Anolis sagrei: one gene and its partner. The protein of the gene in region 2 binds, or shares a complex with, the protein of the main gene of each other region. Links are inferred from orthologs where the notes say so. Each region holds a gene or a part of one and is shown on either strand. Other genes may lie near its edges.

Region 1 (7,482 bases), on a different chromosome or scaffold from region 2:
AAATTGCAACAAATTAAACATCACACAACTAAAAATTACATTTTAAAACTAATAAACTATTTAAAAAGCAGGCTTAAAAACTGACTTTAATAAAAGTTTTATAAAGCATTAAAATTTAAAAGCCAGACATCCCACAGCACATTTTGCTATAGTTTTTTCAATGAATATCTCGAGTCAAATTCAATCAATTCAACATAGTTTGTGGCAGCCACAAAAACCAAGTTTCTGGAGTATAACACTTTCAAAATCAGTATGGTACTATTAAATAACACTTTCAAATCAGTAACAAAAAATGTTTCAAATTTTGTTACATAGTGTAGTAATTGTTTGTTTTAATTTCTCTGTATTTTCACAGACTGATTCAAAGTATGTTTACTCATCGAGTTCAGTAGAGTTACTTCCTCATGATTGCAACCTTCTTTATTTATTCTTTATTTGACATATTCACTTCTTCTGATCAAAATGAAATCTCCATATAGTGAGTTTGTGGGGTTTAAAAAAACCCTCAAAGCTTTCTTTGGAATCTAAATGGTTTTTTGATTCAGGTTCCTTCCACACAGCCATATAACCCAGAATATCAAGGCAGAAAATCCAACAATATTTGCTTTGAACTGGGTTATTTGCTTCCTTTCTGGAGGAATCCTTTGTCAGGTGTTAGCTGGCCCTAACTATTTCCTGTCCAGAATTCCCGTTTTTTGAGTGTTGTTCTTTATTTACTGTCCTGATAGAATTTTTTTAATACTAGTAGCCAGATTTTGTGCATGGTTTCCTCCTTTCTGTTGAAATTGTCCACACGCTTGTGGATTTCAAGGGCTTCTCTGTATAGTCTGACATGGTGGTTGTTAGAATGGTCCAGCATTTCTGTGTTCTCAAATAATATGCTGAGTCAAGTTGGTTCATCAAGTGCTCAGCCATAACCATAGTACCTTTTTCTGACAAAAAGCACCTCAGTTTAAGGAGGAGCACAAAATACCTTACATATTCCATATATTAGGGCTAGTACCTTCTGTGAGGGGCGGTAGCTTGAGTCTATCCCTCTGGACAAGGATTCGTCAAGCAGCGCTTTGAGTTTCTCAGCAGAATCTTTGCTTTTGGAATGCAAGAAACCAAGAGCTTTCAAGAAGATGGGGTCCAGCTCCAAGTTCATAGCAGCAGCCATAGCAGCACCTTTGAAGGAAGAAAAGAAAGAGAGAAATAACAAGATGGAAAAAGTTTAAACATATGTTTTGCTTGTCAACTAACCTTTGGTTTTTGTTGTTTATTCATTCAGTTGCTTCCTACTCTACCTGAGCTACTACGTCCCAGAAGCACTTTATTAGAGTTTAAGACTCTCTGCACATTGCACTTGCCCGGAAATCCAACATACCTCCTGCCACACCCAGCACTTTTTAACCTGTACCCATCACTGGCCCAGCCCTGGTTTTATTGCATAATGATGTAACATTTTGTTATTGCTTATGTTTTAATTTGCTTTAAATTGTATTGTTATTGTTTTGCTGTTGTGTTGAGGCCTTGGCCTTTGTAAGCCGCATCAAGTCCTGCGGGAGATGCTAGCGGGGTACAAATAAAGTTAATAATAATAATAATGAGCTCATGGACTAGTCCACGCTAGAGCTCCCTGTCGGCCATGGCCACCCCCAGCTTTTTCAAAGTCAAGCCAGTCACTTCAAAGATAACATCCATCCATCTTGCCCTTGAGTCGGTCCCTTTTTCCTTCCATCTCCTCCAAGCTTTCCTATCTTCTCATTATGTGGCCAAAGCACTTTATCTTTGCCTCTAATATCCTTCCCTCCAATGAGTAGTCGGGCTTTATTTCCTGGAATATGTATGGGTTTGATCTTCTTGCGATCCAAGGCACTCACAGAATTTTCCTCCAGTACCACAGTTCAAAAGCATGTATCTTCCTTCACTCAGTCTTCTTTATGGTCCAGCTCTCACATCCGTAGGTGACTACGGGGAATATCATTGCTTTAACTATGCAGATCTTCTCTAGGCTTTGCTGTCTCCTCATGATGTGGCCAAAGTACTTCCACTTTGTCTCTAGTATCCTTCCCTCCAATGAGCAGTTGGGCTTTATTTCCTGGAGGATGGACTGGTTGGATCTTCTCGCAGTCCAAGGCACTCTCAGAACTTTCCTCCAACACCACAGTTCAAAAGCATCTATCTTCCTTTGCTCAGCCTTCCCTAAGGTCCAGTTCTCACATCCGTAGGTTACTACAGCGAATACCATGGCTTTGACTGGGCGGATCTTTGTTGCCAGTGTGATGTCTCTACTCTTCACTATTTTATCAAGATTGGACACTGCTCTCCTCCCAAGAAGTAAGCGTCTCCTGATTTCCTGGCTGCAGTCTGTGTCTGCAGTAATCTTTGCACCTAAAAATACAAAGTCTGTCACTGTCTCCACGTTTCCCCCCTCTATTTCCCAGTTGTTAATCATTCTTGTTGCCATAATCTTGTGTTTTTTGATGTTTAACAGCAACCCAGCTTTTGCGCTTTTTTCTTTCACCTTGATTAGAAGGCTCCTCAACTCCTCCTCGCTTTCGGCCATCAAAGTGGTATCATCTGCATATCTAAGGTTGTTAATGTTTCTTCCAGCAATTTTCACCCCAGACTTGAATTCCTCAAGCCCTGCACATCGCATGATGTGTTCTGCATACAAGTTGAATAGGTTGGGGGAGAGTAGACAACCCTGCTGTACACCTTTCGCAATCTTGAACCAGTCTGTTGTTCCATGGTCAGTTGTTCATTCAATCAGTCGTCTCCGACTCTTCATGACCTCATGGACCAGCCCACGCCAGAGCTCCCTGTCGGCTCCCTGTCACCACCCCCAGCTCCTTCGAGGTCAGTCCAGTCACTTCAAGGATGCCATCCATCCATCTTGCCCTTGGTCGGCCCCTCTTCCTTTTGCCTTCCACTTTACTTGGTCCTTATACAGATTCCTCAGGAGAGAGACAAGGCTAGAAGGGGCCAACTTGGGCCCTCCCTCCAGGTGTTTTGGACTTCAACTCCCACAATTCCTAACAGCCTACCGGCTGTTAGGAATTGTGGGAGTTGAAGTCCAAAACACCTGGAGGGCCCAAGTTAGCCCTTGCTTGCTATAGAGCCAGTTTGACACCACTTTACTCAATGCTCTTGAATCCTGGGAGTTGTAGCATGGTCCTCTTTAGCACAGGAGGAGAAAGGCATTCATTACAATACATTACAATTCATTACCACACAATGGAGAGAAGCTTTCAAAAAAAATAACCCCTTCCTCATTGGCCCCTGCTCTTTCACCTCATTTGGCAGGGAAACCCCGTCGCGAAGGAGAAGTCCAGCCAGCCAGGTGTCTCCTTCTCGTTCTCCTCCTTCTCCCTAGAGGTGCCGGCCGCCTTCTGTCCCCGGCTGGCAGGCAGACACACAACGGAAGTGAGGAGGAGCGCCGGAAGAGGCGGGGCTTGCGGCTTCTGAGGCGGACACTGAGAGGAAGGCGCTGGCTAAGGATCTCCGGTAAGGAGGCTTTGGAGAAATGTCCCATCAAGTCTTTGGCTTTTAAAGCGAGCTTTTGCTTGGAAAAGGATTGTCTTTTTCCCCTCTACACCAGGCCTGGGCCAACTTGGGCCCTCCCTCCAGGTGTTTTGGACTTCAACTCCCACAATTCCTAACACCCTACCGGCTGTTAGGAATTGTGGGAGTTGAAGTCCAAAACACCTGGAGGGAGGGCCCAAGTTGGCCCAGGCCTACTCTACAATTTGCAGTTTGACATCACTTTTCCCTGCCATGGCTCAGTGCTATGAGATCTTGGGAGTTGTAGTTTGGTGAGGCAACAGCACTCTAGCAGAAGACCTTGTAGAACTACAACTCCCAAGATCCCATTGCATTCTATTCTCTCTCTCTCTCTCTCTCTCTCTCTCTATATATATATATATAAATGCTCTGTGCATAATGAGTACCTTAAAAACAAAAGAACCAATGAACGAAATCATACCAAATTTGGCAACAAAATGTCTCACAACACAAGGAGTGGCCATCACTCTAAAAATTATGATTTTGTCATTTGGGAGTTGTAGTTGCTGGGATTTATAGTTCACCTACAATCAACGAGAATTCTGAACTCCCATCATCGATGGAATTGAAGCAAACTTGGCACACAGAACTCCCATGACCAACAGAAAATACTGGAAGGGTTTGGTGGGCATTGACCTTGAGTTTGGGAGTTGTAGTTCACCTACATACAGAGAGCACTGTGGGCTCAAACAATGATGGATCTGGACCAAACTTTGGCACAAGCACTCAATACGCCCAAATATGAACACAGATGGAGTTTGGGGGAAATAGACCTTGACATTTGGGAGTTGTAGCCACTGGGATTCACAGTTCACCTACAATCAAAGAGCATTCTGAACCCCATGAATGATAGAATCGGGATAAACTTCCCACACAGAACCCCCATGACCAACAGAGAATACTTAAGGCCATCCATTCCAACTCCCTTCACCAGGGCAAGAAAACATAATCAAAGTCCTCCTGACCAAGAGCCATCCAGCCATAGGTAGAGATAGATAGATATGATTCACACACAGAGAGATATAGTATCATAGATTTGAAAGGGACCCCTAAAGAAGGACAATGATATGTTGCATGTTCCAGGGTGGGCAAACCAGACACTCTCCACATCAACACTGACAAAGAAACAGCAAGAAATACTGTTTACCCACAAACATAACAACATTACATATATTGGAAACCAGCACTTTCTCATTACTTTATTTTCCAGATCAACACACTGGGCCACAGCAACGCGTGGCAGGGGACAGCTAGTTGAGCAATAATAATAATAATAATAATAATAAACTTTATTTATACCCTGCTACCATCTCTCCAAGGGACTCGGTGCGGCTTACATGAGGCCAAGCCCAACAATACATCAATAAAACAAAAAGCAATAACAAAAACAATCAATACAATACAATTAATATAAATCACATAACCAATAAATAATGATAATAATAATAATAATAATAATAATAATAATAATAATAATACTTTATTTATACCCTGCTACCATCTCCCCAAGGGACTCAGTGCAGCTTACATGAGGCCAAGCCCAACAGTACATCAATAAAACAAAAAGCAATAACAAAAACAATCAATACAATATAATTAATATAAATCACATAACCAATAAATAATGATAATAATAATAATAATACTTTATTTGTACCCTGCTACCATCTCCCCAAGGGACTCGGTGCGGCTTACATGAGGCTGAGCCCAAATGCAACAATACAAGCAATAATAACAGCAATACAAGTAATTAAAATAAACATGGACAATCCAATAATGCAACATTAACAATAAGACCACATGATTAAAAACTATGGGAAGGCCAAATGTAAAATTAAAATTGGAAGTAATGCTGGAACATGGGCGAAAAAGTGATGGGGCATTTGTGGAAAACATACAAGCAGGCCTAAAATGTAAAGTGCTTTGGAGGACAAAGTGCTATGGGATCATTATTCTTGGAAGGCACACAGGAACAGCCACGTCTTCAAGCTCCTCCTAAAGACTGCCAAAGTTGGGGCCTGCCTGATGTCCTTAGGAAGTGAGTTCCAGAGTCGGGGGGCCACCAGTAACATACACGCATTTAAAAACTTATGGCCAGGCCAAATGTAATAGTTTAAAATTTAAAAAATAACACTGGGCATGAACAAGGTAGGATATAACTGGTATAGGGTTTTCAAAGAGAGATGAGGGAATGCAGTCAGTCCTAAATCTGTGGTAAAAGTACATTTTGAGGGCATATTTCTGAGAGTTTTCCTTATTCTGGGAAGACACACTGGAACAACCACGTTTTCAGGCTCCTCCTAAAGACTCCTCCTAAAGACTCCTTGGGAAGTGAGTTCCAGAGTCAGGGGGCCACCACTGAGAAGGCCCTCTCCCTTGTCCCCACCAAACGCGCCTGTGAAGGAAGTGGGAGCGCGAGCAGGGCCTCTCCAGACGATTGAAGAGATTGTGTGGGTTCGTACACAGAAATGCGGTCACTTAGGTAGGCGGGTCCCAAACCATTCAGGGCTTTGTAGGTAAGAACCTGCACCCTGAATTCGGACCGGAAAATGAAAGGCACCCAGTGGAGCTCCTTAAACAGGAGGGTTGACCGCTCTCTGTAAGTTGCGCCAGTTAGTAACCTGACTGCCGCCCATTGTACCAATTGAAATTTCCAATTGAAATTTTCCGAGCAACGAGATCTCCCTTTAAGCGAAAATATATTTAATGGTGAGAAGATACGCAGAAGTTCCGTTGTCAACCTCTTTCTGCATCATTCATTATTTTGATTCTTAGGTTGCTGCCTTTGCCAGAGGAGTTGTGACTTCTTTTAATAATATTTTTTTGTGTAAATGACTTAATTTTTATTTTACGTAATCCACTGTCGAACTTTCAAGAACAGTGCTATTAACAATGAAAGCAATGTAACCAAGGTTTGTCTACACCAGTGGTTCTCAAACTGTGTGTCCCCAGGTGTTTTGGCTTATAACTCCCAGAAATCCCAGCCAGTTTACCAGCTGTTGGATTTCTGGGAGTTGAAGGCCAAAACATCTGGGGACCCACAGGTTGGGAACCACTGGTCTATACTGTAGAATTAATGCACTTGAATTGCCATGGCTCAATGCCATGGAATCCTGGGAGCTGTAGTTTTAGAAAGTCTGTAGCCTTCTCTGCCAAAGAGTGCTGGTGCCTCATCAGACTACAATTACAAGGATTCCATAATATTTTCTGTGGCAGTTAAAGTTGCATTAATTCTACTGTGTATTATGTGTTTTTAAAAAAATCTTCTCACTTCCATAGGGGAAGTGGGAATTGGTACATTTCCTCACAATTTCCAAATAAAAAGCTGAGGCTGCAGATGTGCATGTCAAACGATGTGGTCCCTAGGGTTTAGTAAGTGGAGTCTGTAATTGTACACATCACACAAGATTAAACAGGAGGCAGAAAGATCTAGTCACCAAAATTATGTCGGTATTCTGCAAATCAGGAATGTAATCCCTGTTCCCACTGTATATTGAATAACTTAATGAAATCAGTGGACTACTCAACCATTTAAGTACCATATGCTGAAGAATTTGCATTGGTAGTGTGATGGTAAAAGAGAGACTTTCAAGATGTAAAATTGGGTCTTACTCTGAAAATAATGCATTTTAACCAATTGTTAATTCAAGTTATTTGATTTCCCATGTGAATATTGTTGAATTTTGGATGCAAAGTTTGCTCAAAAACATTGAACTTTTTTAATGGTGTAGGAACTTATTCCTTTGCTGTGTGTGTTAATACGAGAAGGATGATGGATACTATGTTGTTTTGACTGTCTTAAAACAGTGCCATTAAACAGTATTTTCTGCCTTTACTAGCCAATATGAAGGAGGGGTGATGCCAAAAATTGCAGAGAGAAGATTAACTTAATGTAGAGTCCCCATGCCAAGCATATCTTGGTATTGCCCTTTCATT
Region 2 (8,380 bases):
TAAAAGCAAGCTATATAACCGAATAGCAACCCAAAACAGGTTAAAAAGATAACATTAAAAGACAGGGTAAAAACTTCTTGGTCATCCAATTTAACTGATATCTTAGCCATTTATCTTGGCATTCCCTGTAAACATAGCTTAGTAAGCTTCTTCTTCATCTCCTCTGCTTTTGAAATTATCCATCATTTACAAATGGCTAACAGTACAGCACTGTAGGCAGATGCAGAGACTGTAGCAGTCATTTAACACACACACAAGTCACAAACACAAGAGGCCATGCAGAAAAAGGTAATTAAGGAAGCAGATCTACACAAGTAAGGATAACAGCGAGTAATCACCACAATGATGAGAAATTATATGGCAGTGTAGGAGCCTAGGAGTCCACAATTGTCTGGTCATTTTGTTTGGGGTTTATGTGAAAGAAACAAACACCACACAAGAATAAAATGAAAAGAGAGATGTTTGTGTGTCAGACTGAAAAAAAGGCAATTGTCTGGTAGTGATCGGCTTAGCAAAATTGTCTTGTGATGTCACAGCACCCTTTTGGTTTCTTCACCTCTCTGGCCGAAAGCAAGGAATCATTGAGGATAACTATTACTGGGGACTAGCAAAGATCTGTTTCACCACATTTGCTCACTTTTCTTCCTGGCATTTACTATTTCCGGTTTACTTTTGAGCTCAGAGAGATTTCAACCTGGAAAAGCCATAACAGAACAACTTACAGAACTAACTTTTTCAAAATGCAAGACACCTTTTAGCTTTTGGATCCTTACCACTGATGGAGCAAGGCCTCTTGAGTTCTGCTTCTTCTTCTTTAGTTTGGAGGGCGTCTGCTTGTCTGTTATGTTGTGGGCTCCACTTATTTGTTTCACCTGTCTGTAAAATCCATCTGGAAAGCGGTTTTCAAGAACAAATGTTAAAAGCAACCTCCACTGCATCATAAACTTAGGGCCCTTCCACAAAGTCCTATAACCCAGAATATCAAGGCAGAAAATCCCACAATATCCGCTTTGAACTGGGTTATTTGAGTCCACACTGCCATATATCCCAGTTCAAAGCAGATAATGTGGGATTTTATTCAGCTGTGTGGAAGGGGCTTTAGTTTCAGGATTATATTTGTATCTCAGCAGAAGGAAAAGCCTTACAAAGCTTTATGAAGGCTGGGGGAAGGAGAATGGAGATAAGATAAACAGATACTTAGTATACCTTTTTTATTACATCGAGTATCCCAAACCATGATGTTTCCATCTCTTCCTCCTGTACAGAACACCGCTGTGAAATATAAAAATAAGATGCTTCATTTTTTAAAAAAGGGATAAAGGTCAATACCAAATCCCTTTGAGGAACTCTCCTCTTCAAGAGATATGTCCAGGCCATTCTAATCCAGGCTCTTAGCCCTCCACACTCCCAGCTCTGTTTTGCAATTGGGTGATTTAAATTCCCATGTTCTCTTCTTAAAGGGGGATTGTCAATATGGCCAGATGATGATGATAACATTAACACTTACCACTCTCAAATTTGGAGAAAGCAACGGACTTCAGGCTGCACTGGTGCCCTTTGCACACCCCAAGAAGTTCACCAGTCCTTACATCCCACACTTTTGCCGTCTGATCTCCTGAAGCAGTTACCTGAACGATAAAAATATGAGTTAACTATTATTTGCAGTGAGTGACACCAAACTGTTGAATATCTTATCAGACTATAAACTTATTGAGACAGGGCCTTTTGAAGGGAAAGCCTGATATTTCATCAACTATGTACAGCAAGGGCCCCCTGGTGGCGCAGTGGGTTAAACCACTGAGCTGCTGAACTTGCTGACCGAAAGGTTGGCGGTTCCAGTGTGGGGAGCGGGGTGAGCTCCCACTGTTAGCCCCAGCTTCTGCCAATCTAGCAGTTTGAAAACATGCAAATGTGAGTAAATCAATAGGTATCGCTTCTGCAAGAAGGTAATGGCACTCCATGCAGTCATGCCGACCACAAGACTTTGGAGATGTCTATGGATAATGTCAGCTCTTCAGCTTAGAAATTGAGATGAGCATCACCTCCCAGAACTGGACACAATTAGACTTAATGTCAGGGGAAACCTTTACTATCTTATGTACAACAAAGTTTGAGAGAAGTGCTATATACATGTTTACTCCAGCAAATTCAGTGGGACCTACTCTCAGGTGTACATGAAGAAAGTAAACAAGCATATACATAGCTTGACTTGAGAGTACAAGTTAACAGATATACAGATGTGTCTTAGTACTTAGAATGCAAAATATATATACCTTATAGAATTAATGGAATCAGAAGTGTCTTGGAAGTAATTTTGTCTCAAGCTTTCTATTGCAAGGTCCAACAATTTCCCCCATAAATATGTTCCCATACTTGTGCCCATTGACTATAATGTTTTACTTTCCTAGAAATTTGGCTTCTTCTAAGCCCCGTTGAACATAAGGGCAAGATAATACTACTTTACTCACAATTTTGTGTTCTCTGGGCATCCAGGCAAGGTCAAAAACAGCATTTGAATGCGCTTGCCATTCTGAAGGGAAACAAAAAACAAAATCCACATTAATCATTAAGAGTTAAAAGAATATGGTCTATTTATTTACCTCTCTGTATGCTGTGAAATTCAATTTTTCAAGAATGCCAAGTAAGTTTAAGCACATCCTAAAAATGGCCCAGCATTTATCAGAACAATTTAGCACAATCAAGTGTTGTGTTTACCTCTAAAAATCTTTTTGCTGCTTGTTGATGCATGAGTATCATACAGCCTAACGATCCCCTCTTCATTTGCAACAGCAAGAATATGTTGTGCATTGGGAGCTGGAAAATAAATAAGCAAAATGTCTGTTTCTAAAAGTTTTACAAGTAACAGTAATGTATAACACTCTGCTAAAATTACTGCTTACCTACTTGACAAAAAAAACACAGAAGTAAAATGGAGATAAACCTACAGGACAGTATTAAGAGATCAAGACTAGATGTCAGTCTGTGATCTGCACGCATTCGCTGATACATCACGCAGTCCTAGACACTTGGGAAGTGTCTGAAAGGTGATCAAATACAAAAGCCAGCAGTGACCTTGTTTGCTGTATACTAATCTTGCTATGTATCAAATAATACGCTTTATTTATATTCCACCCTTCTCCCTGATTTATTATTTATGTATTTCCAACTTAATGGGAAGTTTAGTTTCACAATCCTTTGTTTCTTTATGAGCTCCCTGCAAATAACTTACTCCTATTCTTATCTCATTCGAGTTTTTAAACATTTTATTCTGAACATGTGGCCTTCCCACTGTCACTGTGATTGTGTTTATTGGAATGTTACTTTGTTATTGTATTCATATGTTTTTTAATGTAATTTTGATGCTGTTGCTTGTTGCTTATGTTTTGGTTTTATTTTGCTGTAATGTGTTGTCCGGGCTTGGCCTCATGTAAGCCTTCCCAAGTCCCCGTTGGGGAAGATGGTGGCGGGGTATAAATAAAGTTTATTATTATTATTTACATACACAGACAAAGAGTCAGTGCATTTATAATTATATATGATACACAAACACAAACAAAGGCAGAGGGTTCTCCGTTCATTTCCAGCTTCTGGAGGTGGTGCTCATCTCAGGCTCTGGGAAGGTGCTTTCTTCATTTTCAAGCCAAAGAGCCTGTGTTGTCACCTTCCTGGTTGTGTGGCCGGCAAGATTTCTTGGAGTGTCTCTGTCTTTTCCTGCCAAAGCAGTACCTATTTATCTACTCACATTTGCATGTTTTCGAACTGCTATGTTGGCAGGAACTGTCTTGTGGATTTGAACCTCCGACCTTCCAGTCAGCAATTCAGCCAACCGTCAGGTCAGAAGTTCAACAAAATGAGGGTTTAACCCTCCAAGGTCATTTACCCAGCCCTCACTCAGGGTCAACATAAGTCTGAAATGACGTGAAAGCACACCACAACAACAACCCTATCTCATCAGCCAAAAGCAGGCACACATTTCCCATTGAAATACTAACAAGTTTATATTTGTTAAAATTGTTCTTTTCAATTACTATACTGTTTTATGTGTTTTTTGCACTACACATAAGATATGTGCGGTGTGCATAGGAATTTATTCATATTTTTTTCAAATTATAATTTGTTCAACTGTTTGAGGGACTGTGACCTGGCCCTCTGTTTAAAAAGTTTGTGGACCCATTGCGCCACCGCGGACTACTGATCGTAATCTAAACACAAAAGGAAAGAACTACAAATGTTCACAAATTGGACAACCCCCTCCATTGTACCTGTTGAAAAGGTGCACCCGAAAGGAGGAACCGGGATTCCCATTTCTCCAAAGGACGGATGGTCATCTTCTCTAGTACAAGAATAGCACCCTAGAAGGTGCTGTAAGGAAAATCTTGGCAGCAGACCTACATAGAAACAATAATAAGGTGGGGAAAAACAATAATTAGCTGCTAATACCAAAGGTCACTTCTGCTTCAGTGTTTATGGGCCAGGCATGGGTAAACTTGGGCCCTCCCTCCAGGTGTTTTGGACTCCAACTCCCACCATTCCTAACAGCCTCAGGCCCCTTCCTTTTCCCCCTCAGCCGCTTAAGCGGCTGAGGGGGAAAAGGAAAGGGCCTGAGGCTGTTAGGAATGGTGGGAGTTGGAGTCCAAAACACCTGGAGGGCACTAAAATCCCCATGTGTTCCCCGCAATATATATTGCAAGCACAGAAATCCAAACCCACCATGCGGTCCACCTTGGCAGCGATGGACGAGGGAGCGGCACAGCATGGTAAACAGAGCTCAAGACCTCCTTGGCTCTCCGCGCGGCGCCAACTGAAACTCCCAGCCCATCCCCTAACTCCCGCCAACCCGAACTACGCGCCAAAGTCACTTCCTTGCTTCCCATTGGTTATAGCAGAAACACAAACCACGCCCCTGTTTTCCTATTGGTTCCCACTTTACCACCTTCCTCGCGAGACCACGCCCACCGCCCTTCAGCTTTCCATTGAAATGAGAACCGGCTTTCCTTGCAGTGGCGCATGCGCATCGACTCCTTAAAAACCGGACTGCGCGCATGCGCGCTAGGCACGTCAAGGCGCACGCGCGCCCGTTTGCACATGCGCGCTAGCTTCTGCTCGTGAGGGAGAGGGAAGGCGGTGCGCGCCGAGTTGTGTCCGAGTGGAAATGGAAATAATAAACTTTTTTCTCTCCCTCCCTTTCCTGTGAGGGGTTTTGTTTGTATACTACACAACAACATGGCCTCGGCTTCCAAATCCTTTCTTGCCGACGCCGGCTATGGCGAACAAGAACTGGATGCAAACTCCGCCCTCATGGAGCTGGATAAAGGTAAGAGGGAAAGCGAGGGATGTGCGCATGCGCCGAAGTCACAGTGATGGCCTTGTTTGACCGAAGCCCCGCCCCTTTATCCTGAGGCGGGGAATTTGAAAGGGAGAGGCGGGGTTTGTTTTCAGGAGAATTAGTGCTGTCTGACACGTCATGGCTCGAGGCGATGGCATCTTGGGAATTGTAGTTTTACAACCTTCACTGCCAAATTGTGCTGGTTCCTCACCAAACTATTTATTTACGACATTTATGTGCCGCCATGGCTATTCAAGTGGCGCCAAACTGTATTTATTTTATTTTTATTTATTTACAGTATTTGTATACCGCTTTTCTCGCCCCGAGGGGGGCTCAAAGCTGTTTACACATAAGCAATGGCAAAAATTCAATGCCAGTACAAACAATTACAATTATACACTACAATTAGACATAAATCAAATTAAAAAATCATAGAATCAAAGAGTTGGAAGAGACCTCATGGGCCATCCAGTCCAACCCCCTGCCAAGAAGCAGGAATATTGCATTCAAAGCATCCCTGACAGATGGCTATCCAGCCTCTGTTTAAAAGCTTCCAAAGAAGGAGCCTCCACCACACTCCGGGGCAGAGAGTTCCACTGCTGAACGGCTCTCACACTCAGGAAGTTCTTCCTAATGTTCAGAGATGGAATCTCCTTTCTTGTAGTTTGAAGCCATTGTTCCAGGTCCTAGTCTCCAGGGCAGCAGAAAACAAGCTTGCTCCGTCCCCCCTATGACTTTATCTCACATATTTCTACATGGCTATCATGTTTCTTCTCAGCCTTCTCTTCTTCAGGCTAAACATGCCCAGCTCTTTAAGCCACTCTTCATAGGGTTTGTTCTCCAGACCCTTGATCATTTTAGTTGCCCTACTCTGGACACATTCTCTGGAAGACCTGTATTTGCATATTTCTCCATAATCTTGGTGATAGGACCCAGGCCTAAACACAAAATTTGGCAGAGAAGTCTTTAAAAAACTTGTAAAACTACAACTCCAATGGTTCCATAGCATTCAACTACAGCAGTTGAACTGCATGAATTATCCAGTATTAATTCTCTGCCTTAGGCCCTTGAGTGGGGAAAGGCGGGATAAAAATTGCCTAAATTAATTAAATGCTCCTTTTGTCTCTCAGCCAAGTAATAACCAGAATTGACCCTGCTTAACTTCCAGCATCAGATGGCCTTGTTACATATTTCACCCAACATTCATAGTCTGCTTCATTTCATAGTCTGCTTCATTATCTCTGCTTCTATGCCTTTAGGTGCTGTGCTGATTTTACTTTCTGTTGCAGGTCTTCGATCTGGCAAACTTGGGGAGCAGTGTGAAGCTGTTGTCCGTTTTCCCAGACTCTTTCAGAAGTATCCATTCCCGATTCTAATTAACTCAGCATTTTTAAAACTTGCTGATGTTTTCAGAGTTGGGTAAGCTAAACTTGTATGTTCTGGATTTGTAGTATTGAAGCACTGAGTTGCTTTTAATTCAAAGCACTGCTGATAGCCATTTCTTGGGGCGTTGTGGTTAGAAGCAGGTTGACTAGGAAATGTTCTTCTGTATAGGTCTTGCCCACTCAGGGTGCTTCCATACAGTGCCAAAATGCGGATTAAAAGGGGAAAGATAAAAAGCTCTCAGAGCAGGTCCCCGCACAGATCGGTCCCAGGCTTTCTTCCCCTGCTGTCCTCACAGCCCTTCTTTTTGAAATGGGTTTCCCTCTGTTGCTGCGATTGAGCGCGCATTTAGCGGAAATGTCATCTCTCCCCCCCCCCCCCTTAACTTGTTCTCGCCCGGATTATAGCTATTGTATGGAAGAACCTTTAGTGATAGATCAAGTGGAAATTGTGTTGTGGTATTTTATGGAAACCACAGAAAAGCTGTGTAGGTACCCTCACCCTAGCATGGAAATTTCCTATTGAGGGATGCTTCTTCTTGCCTTTTGCCTGTTAATACCCATTTGATATATGGCAAAGTCACCCTTTTAAGAACTCTTACGTGCCATAACATCTGCTTGGAGTTTTCACTCTGCACTGGAATTTTAATTATGATTATTAATTATTAATTCATTTGCAAGAGCCAGTATGATTATGGCATTTTGAGTGGCGGTCTAGGTCTCAGGGAGGTTCGGGTTGGAATCCCACCTTGATCATAAAGTGGGATTTGGTGAAGCCATACTCTCTCAACCTCAGAGGAAAACAATAGCAAGTCTTGCTAAGGAAATCCCACTTATGTTTTATTTTTCCACTTTTTGGACTTTCATTCAGTTGTCATTGTGATGTAGTTGTGATTCTTTGGTACTGTTGATTTTCTATTGCTACCTGCCTCAGACTTTTTATAGAAATTGGAAACATAATGATTTTTAGTAATTAAAATATTATTTCAAAACAGAAACAACTTCCTGAGACTCTGTGTTTTGAAAGTTACTCAGCAGAGTGAGAAACACTTGGAGAAGATCTTGAATGTGGATGAGTTTGTGAAAAGAGTTTTCTCAGTTATTCACAGTAACGATCCAGTTGCACGCGCCATCACACTCAGGTATGCACACTTAACTCAGCAAGGATCTGCCCAGATGCTGCATTCTGGAGGGTGCCACTTATAGTGGGCAATGTGAACATATTAAGCAGGTATATGCTGAGAAAGATTATTAGTTTGTGTACTGTTTCCTCTGATTTGCAAATGATCTTCAGGGTATCTGATGGAGTCTTTCCCAGTTCTGTGGCATGGATTCATTTTTAATTGGATAAGTTAGGGATTGACTGAGCTGCAGGGAAAAGTGTATTCTATGACTGGATTATAATTGTTCCCCAAGACTTCAATTTCAACAGTGTGAAGAAATGGCAATAAAGTTGCCCAGAATGTATTTTATGTTTATGTTTAACAACTGAATAATATTGTATGATAACATTGAAAAGACACAGTAAAAAAGAACATTTTGATTTATGTTTAGGTGATACATTTTTGAACAGCTGAGTGTCTATTTTGTTACTTGAAAGAGAGGTTTTCAAGTTGGTTTGAGCACCTTTTTTATTCTGAACCAAGGCATACCTAAAGCAGGCTTTATGATA

Evidence for each region.
Region 1: INTS7 (region 2) and INTS12 share a complex: the UniProt entries of both Homo sapiens proteins name them as parts of the integrator complex. The link is inferred for Anolis sagrei from reciprocal best matches to the Homo sapiens genes INTS7 and INTS12.

Annotation. Positions count from the first base shown.
Region 1 is NC_090025.1:29,043,226-29,050,707, forward strand, and holds the start of INTS12 (integrator complex subunit 12), read right to left. Parts: upstream 3,409-7,482; 5' UTR 3,277-3,408; intron 1,168-3,276; 5' UTR 1,160-1,167; coding exon 1,004-1,159; intron 1-1,003. UniProt on the Homo sapiens protein: Component of the integrator complex, a multiprotein complex that terminates RNA polymerase II (Pol II) transcription in the promoter-proximal region of genes.
Region 2 is NC_090021.1:32,418,981-32,427,360, reverse strand, and holds the start of INTS7 (integrator complex subunit 7), read left to right. Parts: upstream 1-5,067; 5' UTR 5,068-5,223; coding exon 5,224-5,314; intron 5,315-6,615; coding exon 6,616-6,745; intron 6,746-7,703; coding exon 7,704-7,850; intron 7,851-8,380. Other genes in the region: DTL (denticleless protein homolog), read right to left, coding at 774-889, 1,207-1,272, 1,508-1,628, 2,469-2,530, 2,716-2,814, 4,263-4,388, 4,711-4,756. UniProt on the Homo sapiens protein: Component of the integrator complex, a multiprotein complex that terminates RNA polymerase II (Pol II) transcription in the promoter-proximal region of genes.